Kluyveromyces lactis: one gene and its partners. The protein of the gene in region 1 purifies or fractionates together with the protein of each later gene. This does not show direct contact. Links are inferred from orthologs where the notes say so. Each region holds a gene or a part of one and is shown on either strand. Other genes may lie near its edges. The genes, in order: RIP1, QCR2 and QCR10.

The links.
Region 2: the proteins of RIP1 (region 1) and QCR2 purify together in Saccharomyces cerevisiae (affinity purification with western blotting; 4 studies listed by BioGRID, with this or other methods). This does not show direct contact. The link is inferred for Kluyveromyces lactis from reciprocal best matches to the Saccharomyces cerevisiae genes RIP1 and QCR2.
Region 3: the proteins of RIP1 (region 1) and QCR10 purify together in Saccharomyces cerevisiae (affinity purification with mass spectrometry; 3 studies listed by BioGRID, with this or other methods). This does not show direct contact. The link is inferred for Kluyveromyces lactis from reciprocal best matches to the Saccharomyces cerevisiae genes RIP1 and QCR10.

The regions. Positions count from the first base shown.
Region 1 is NC_006041.1:2,013,285-2,015,432, reverse strand, and holds RIP1 (ubiquinol--cytochrome-c reductase catalytic subunit RIP1), read right to left. Parts: upstream 1,262-2,148; coding exon 620-1,261; downstream 1-619. Other genes in the region: putative E3 ubiquitin-protein ligase HUL4, read right to left, coding at 2,013-2,148. UniProt on the Saccharomyces cerevisiae protein: Component of the ubiquinol-cytochrome c oxidoreductase, a multisubunit transmembrane complex that is part of the mitochondrial electron transport chain which drives oxidative phosphorylation.
Region 2 is NC_006038.1:323,375-326,269, reverse strand, and holds QCR2 (ubiquinol--cytochrome-c reductase subunit 2), read right to left. Parts: upstream 1,735-2,895; coding exon 652-1,734; downstream 1-651. Other genes in the region: RPC82 (DNA-directed RNA polymerase III subunit C82), read left to right, coding at 2,621-2,895. UniProt on the Saccharomyces cerevisiae protein: Component of the ubiquinol-cytochrome c oxidoreductase, a multisubunit transmembrane complex that is part of the mitochondrial electron transport chain which drives oxidative phosphorylation.
Region 3 is NC_006041.1:1,221,881-1,224,044, forward strand, and holds QCR10 (ubiquinol--cytochrome-c reductase subunit 10), read right to left. Parts: upstream 1,114-2,164; coding exon 1,105-1,113; intron 839-1,104; coding exon 611-838; downstream 1-610. Other genes in the region: bifunctional hydroxyacyl-CoA dehydrogenase/enoyl-CoA hydratase FOX2, read left to right, coding at 1-219; KLLA0_E13861g (glycosyltransferase family 15 protein), read right to left, coding at 1,409-2,164.

The DNA of each region.
Region 1 (2,148 bases):
TTTAAATACGTGTCTGACCTTTTATGGAAAAGAAGGCGATACAACATTAAGCGATTCAGATTGTAGGTATAACCATGCATCGGGTAGAGCAGGACTATTTCAAAGATTTTGGAATATAATAAAAGGGTTTCAATCACGGTAGTAGCCTGATGTGGTCATTCAGGTATTAATGCGATTGTTTCTCAGTGCAGTTAAAAGGAAAAGTGATGACATACAATTGAACAATGCTTCAAAAGCATTTCATGCTTGCTATCCTTTTAGTTTGCTTGAGCTATGGGGGCACGGGTAGTTGTGGTTTCAAAAATGTTTGTATGAATAAATAATAATAAATCGGGTAGTGATGATGGAACGTGAAAAAACGAGCTTACACGATTCCAATATGACAAACTTTAGCATAAAAGATATTGACCTTGGTTGTGAATCCTACTTGGAAAATACATGGGGGGAGTAGGAGACATCAACATGGGAATAAAGAATTTTATTAGTGAAAGCTGGAGTGAGAAGGACAAAGAGAAAGAGAAAAAGGAAGAGAGTTAAATTTGAGAAATAGCAAAAAAAGGTAGCCTATTTCAACAATTTATCAACATAATATAATCTTTTTTTAGCTTTCCTTCTGCGCTTAACCGACAATCAAGTTTTCACCATCGAATTCATATTGAGGGATTTCCAAGTTCAATGGAGCTGGACCCTTTCTGATTCTACCGGAGATATCGTAATGGGAACCGTGACATGGACAGAACCAACCACCGAAATCACCAGATTCACCGATAGGAACACAACCCAAATGAGTACAGATACCCAACATGACTAACCATTCTGGCTTTTGAACTCTGTCAGAATCAGTTTGAGGATCCTTCAAAGCTGACATATCAACACTGTTAGCTTCTTGAATCTCATGGTCGGTTCTGTGTCTGATGAAAACTGGCTTACCTTGCCATTTCACAACGACATTTTTACCTTCTGGAATAGCAGCCAAGTTGACTTCGACCTTAGCCATAGCCAAAACATCTGCAGATGCAGACATAGAAGCGATGAAAGTTTCAACGGTGGATTTGGCACCGGCAGAGGACAACAAACCTAAAGAACCAACCATAAAGTAAGCATAAGAACGACCTTTGTCAGCATCGTTATTCTCCTTGATATAGTCTCCGAAATCTGGAGTTCTGTAAGTAGACTTGGCAGCAACTGCAGAAGTAGAAATTAATCTGGCTGGAGCAACAGACTTCAAACCAGTCTTCAAACCGTTTCTTAAACCCAACATTTTTGATATTAGTTAGTTATGGATATATCGCTAGAGTGTATTATTCGTACTAATTTCCCGTTCTTATTTCGGAGAAATCGTTTCTATGATATCGACTTTAATCACAACAGCAAAGCACTCTCGGAGTATCAATAAATATATACACAGATATGAATCACCAAGCCAGATTATAAAATATATATATCAATGCAAAAATGTTGTTGGAACTGAAAGTAATAATAAAATGATTGTACTAAATCTTTTTCTATTTTATTTTATTCAGAGAAATTATCAAATTATCTCTATCCATATTAAACAGAAGCCATTGCAGCTTAATAAGTGCGGAAGGAAGCAAAAAAAAAAAAAACAAAGAAAAATTTCAGATTGGGAAAAAAGCCAATAGTAAGAAGCGCTAAAGGATTAAACAAGATATAATTCGACCAGACAGGAATGGACAGTGTAAATGAGCTGGGACGAGGCAGAACTTCCTGGTGTGGTTATTATTTTCCAATTTACAAGTATACAATTTTATTTGCGTAAATGGTCAAGTATAGGAAGATTTTCTTGGTGGAAATGATAACTGACACTAGGGCCTTTGGGCCTAGTGTCAGTAAAACGCTTCGCATTTAACGGCTTTCACATAGTAGCTGTAAGTGTCCATTTCCTTGTGTTTTCTGGTTATTCAAGGGAAGCAGGTTTTTCTGTAAAGCCTGGTTCACGATATGATTGGTTCGTTTGTAGTGATTATATTAATGTATGTTTGTTGCTGACATTATTTAAACCCATAACCCTCATACATTTCGAGGGCAGTCACCAATCGCAGAAGAAGAGTATCACGTGACTCATATTCGTACAAGCAGAGTTCGTTGAAACAGGTATGGGCAGTGGGCAACTGATCATGTGATCCG
Region 2 (2,895 bases), on another chromosome or scaffold:
TAATTATCCAAATGTATCATTTATTATTTTTTATTCTGTCTGTAATCTATGATATTCTTTCCACTTGCTAGTTCTCAATAATATGTTAACTGATATTTGTTCAGAGATATATACTTCAATAAATAAGTGATAAGTTTCTAAGATGATATGTGAAAATAAAAATAGGTTCGGCAAGAAGACACACTACGTATTAAACCAACGTTCTTGCAATATCACCACAACCTCTGTTTGATTGTTTTTCTTAAGAGCAGTGATGGGGATTGTATGAATCAACAGAACTGTTGAATTTGATCAGTGGCTTCTGCACATTTCAAAAGATTAAGATATTGACGGGTTCTCTTTTAACATCACCAGTTTTTCCAAAGGTTAAAGGTGTTCTTTTGAATCTTAGAGAGTTTTGTTTTTGAATTTTATTGGTTTCTTTTAGGTTGCAATGTTTCCAAAAGCCACGAAAGGTAAAAGATAATAAAAAATATGTACAATAGAAATGTAATATCGTTTCTAAACATTTCAGTGATGTGATTCTGTCATCTCTCATGAATATGTGTGTTTGTTTGTTGTTTTTTTTTCAGTTTTAAAGTACTATGTGTGTAACTTTGGCTAGTAGGAGAAAGGTTAAAATCTGTGAGTTATTTTTAACTGTGATGAAATTTACAATTCATCAGCGAAAGGTAGCTTAGCGACGTTACCTACAGCGGCGTAAGAGAATTTGTCCAACTTGACATTCTTGACATTAGAGACATCGATTGGAGCGTTTTCCAAAGATAATTGCAAGGCAGTGTATTCCTTAGCAGCTGAAATGTCGACATCCTTCTTCAAGGTATCAACGACCTTCTTTATGTTTTCAGCAACGACAGAAGCATCCTCACCCTTGACGTATAAAGAGAACAAGCCGGCATTAGCGTACTTGTCTAACTTAGCTGAGTCAATTAATGGAGACAATTCGGACAAAGCAGAGGTTAGGTACTTAGCCAAGACTTCGTAGGTAGCGAACTGTTCCTTAGTAACTGGAACAGCGATAGCGGCAACGGAGGCACCTGGAGCACTTAATCTGGCTTCACCGGAGAAGAACTTTGGTTGAGCTTGAGCAGCCAACTTGGAGCCAGTTGGTAAAGAACCAATCAAAGAGTCGTTGACAAATCTCTTCAAGTCAGCTTCGTTGACACCTTGACCAACAATTTCAATGTTTTCCTTGGTGTAGACCTTGTTGGCATAAGCCTTGATATCATCCAAGGTGACCTTCTCGACACCTCTGTATAGAACTGTGTTACCTAAGTCCTTTCTGAAAGAGACATTGTAAAGTAAGTCTTCGGCCTTGTTGATTGGGTTAGTTTCAGAAACGGAAATGTCGTACTTAGCAGCTGGCAAGACAGATTCTGGTAATTCGTGGGGTCTGAAACTGGTCTTGTACAAAACGTTACCCAAAGCGTTAACGAAGTATGGAAGATCTTCCTTCAAGAAAGTAGCCTTCAAAGTGATGTATTCTCTGTCAACACTGGATTCGAACTTACCACCCAACAATTCACTTTCTCTAACCAATCTCAAAGCAGACTTGTTACCGGTGTTATGGAAGTTGAATCTGGACAAAAGGTGGGCAATACCTTCTTTGTCGGCGTAACGAGAACCACCGTGAACCTTAACAGCCAAAGTGGATAGTTTACCGGAACCGTCTTTAGCGGAAATACTGAATTTTCTAGCAGTTTGCTGGGCAAATTGTAATCTACTGGACAACATCTTTATATTATATGTTTATGGGCTTTTTAATTTTGGGAGTCAGAATATCAATCAATATCAATATCAATTATGCGTTAATCAAAAGGTCTTCCTCTACTTTTCCTTTAATGTCCAAACTCAAATAATATTTACTCACACACAAAATAAGTATCGAAACAGAGCAAAAAAAGTACACTGACAGAGTAACGAGTAAAACAAAGTAATCAAAATAGTATATCAATCACAAATCTTTACAAAACCTGTAATCAAAACCAATCTTCAAACAAAAAGCTCTAAACTTTGAAGTAGAATTGTCATATTTTGTTATAAATTTTTCAAGAACCTATTGAATAAAGCTATATGCGATAAAATCCAATAACTAACAAAAAAAAAAAAAATTGAAAAAAAAAAGATATTTCGAGATGTGAAGACTGATCTCTACAGAGGAATCAGAGAAGAAGCGAGCTGATTCTGTAGAAAGGAGAAGCGTGCTTAGACCATCTTGGAGTCACAGTAAGAAGGGGATATCGGGTTTTAGCGGAACGTACTGGGAGTGAGAGGGAACAGACAGGAATCGCGTAATGCACTGTGAAAGGGTATTGGTAAACCATTTGAAGAAAAAATGGTTGGACACGGTTCTTAGAAATGATTGGTTCGTGAGTGATGAGATGTCACGTGACACAGAAACACAAAAGTCACGTGGTTGTGACCACGTGACTTACAATAATGTTGCCTGTTTCTTTCGATCTTCTTGAAAGACCCATCCATTCGTATTGAAAGAAAAAAAAAATCTATCAATTGAATTGATCTCATCTCATCTCATCGCATACATGCATGACTACTGCAACAAGGTGGCTCGACTGTAGAAAAGGTAGGAAAATAAACAATTGTTATTGCAAGCACTGACATGAGTGCTGCCCAAGCTGCCCTGATCCCCGATGCGGCTGTTCCAAATGGTGGTGCAAGTGTTGTATCAGCCGCAGAACCATCCACATCCACATCACCAGAACCAATCGATATCTCTTCATTAGAGCAGAGAACTCTTAACCCAGATTCGTTTTTATACTCTGAACTTGCCAGATCCCATCTTGGTGAAAGAGCCAGTACTGTTCTATCCGTGTTGGTCAACAAAGGAAGACTCTCCACGAGAGAAATTCATTCTTTCATACCAGAACTTTCGTT
Region 3 (2,164 bases), about 790 kb from region 1:
TGTACCCTTGGTGTGAGTGCCAAGGAACTATTTGAAAAGTATGGTCCATTCGATGAATTAAAGGCAAGATTCACTAATGTTGTTTTCCCTGGAGACAGATTAAAGGTAAAAGCATGGAAGAAGAACGATGTTGTCATTTTCCAAACTACTGATTTGAATACTGGTAAGATCGTATTGGACAATTCTGCCATTAAATTGATCGGTAAATCAAAGTTATAATTCTGGCTTTGTGTGTCAGAGAGCGTAAGCTGTAATGATTATGTCCCAACGTATATTAGTTTGTAGCAAATAATGAATAACGACCAATTCCAATCCGTTTTCTTTTGACATAAAACAATTTATATCTCTTTACTTATATACGTTTAGTAAAAGGATGGGTCCTATTTATATGAATAATGTGTAATTGAAGTGCTTTTTCGAAAGTAACGTTCTTTCGAGGGTTTATTTCATAAAATAAATAATAATAATGGTGCTCAGAAGAATATTTTAATTCCTTACTTCTAGGCTTTGGGATTGAGAATATGCTTCCTCTCGTTAAGCATATCTAGAGAGAAAGCAACCTGCAATGACGAAAGTTCAAAAAAATATCATACGTATAACGCATAATCAATTATTGAGGACTGTCTTCTGGAGCAACAACCTTAACCCAGTGGTCACCGAAGTATGGGATCTTTCTGTAGAAGGCATCTTGGAAAGTTGGCCAGCCATCGGTGAACACGAATAAACCGAAAGTAGAAGCACCACCCCAAAGAGCCAAGTTTGGAGCGTAACTCTTCAAGTTTTCAAAAGTGATTCTACCGAAGTGAGCAGCAGTCTTTGCTGATAGTTTAGAAACGTACTGATGAAGATAATTGTTTAGGGAAATATCCCTTGACACATGAAATGTTAGTAAAAAAACAGTCTTCAAAGGGCTTATATTTGCCCAAGATACATCAGGTATATGAAAGATCCTTCCTAAAGGTACTCATAACCTTACCTTTAAGGTCTGGAGATATCGGTATACCTAAAAAAATCTGGATAATTCAGTTATGAGTTTTGATCTACTCCATCTCTAAAGTCTCTTTCAAAACATTAACCACATTCCAGACACATGTCTACACATACAGCAACCATTTTGGAATAAGTATACTGGTGTTTTTCAGCTCTAAAATAGATATCTGCAACGTTGACCAAAAGCACATCCCATAGTAAAGGTATAATGCTCCAGTTAATTGAATTGAAGCTTTTTTATCTTTTTTATCATATAGTGTTGATGTCATTGTGAACGACGTGGACAGTGAGATGATTGGTTGTAGGTCACGTGCAAATAGGAAATTTGGGTACCATGATTACATATCTGTATCGGTTAACTAGTAGAACAAGGATAAGGACAGACACACTTGGCAATCAGGGACTGTTAATTATCCAATTATTTGAGTTCTGTTGTCATAGGCTGTGTCCTGTCCATATTCTTATTTTCTGGTAATAAATATGAGTAGTGTTTCTTCACTTGTGATAAGGTATCTGGCCTCTGCAGTCCATTCACATCAAAGAACTTACTGACGCAACTCCAACGATGCCACGTGAAATCTTTTGAGGCTTGGCAATTGCATCTCAATATTTCTTTCAACGGGTTATCTCTTGGACAATCTTGATTTGGATTGTGTGCGTACCCTGTATCGGGTACAAAATGGATTTGGTCAACGTCTAGTAACAAACTAAATGCAAGCGTATGAACCGGAGCATCGCCCCAACGTTCGTAGAAAAACCCACCAAGTGAGTCCAAATATTGGAAATAAGATTCGTACCCATAACTCGGGTCTTTGAATATCTTTAAATGGGCAATCTCAAAGTTAGTCCAAAAATGACATCCGTTATACGTGGCTCCGTCATCGTCCGAGATGAATTTGAAGTTGTTTCGTTTGCTGACAAGTTCAGGGTGCATTTCGAAAAAATACTTATACGTATGTTCCCATAACGTCGGGATCGTCTTTTGGTCTTCACCCATGGCCATGGCAAACCCGTATAATTTGTCGTTTTGTCTCATATGCTGGAATACATCATAGTTTATATCACATCCGAATTTCACGTAAGGTTCCACACGCCAATAGTATTCAACATTTGCTAGTTCTGGTAACTTGTAAAACAATCCAGAATTGAATCTACACATGAAACGATACGATTC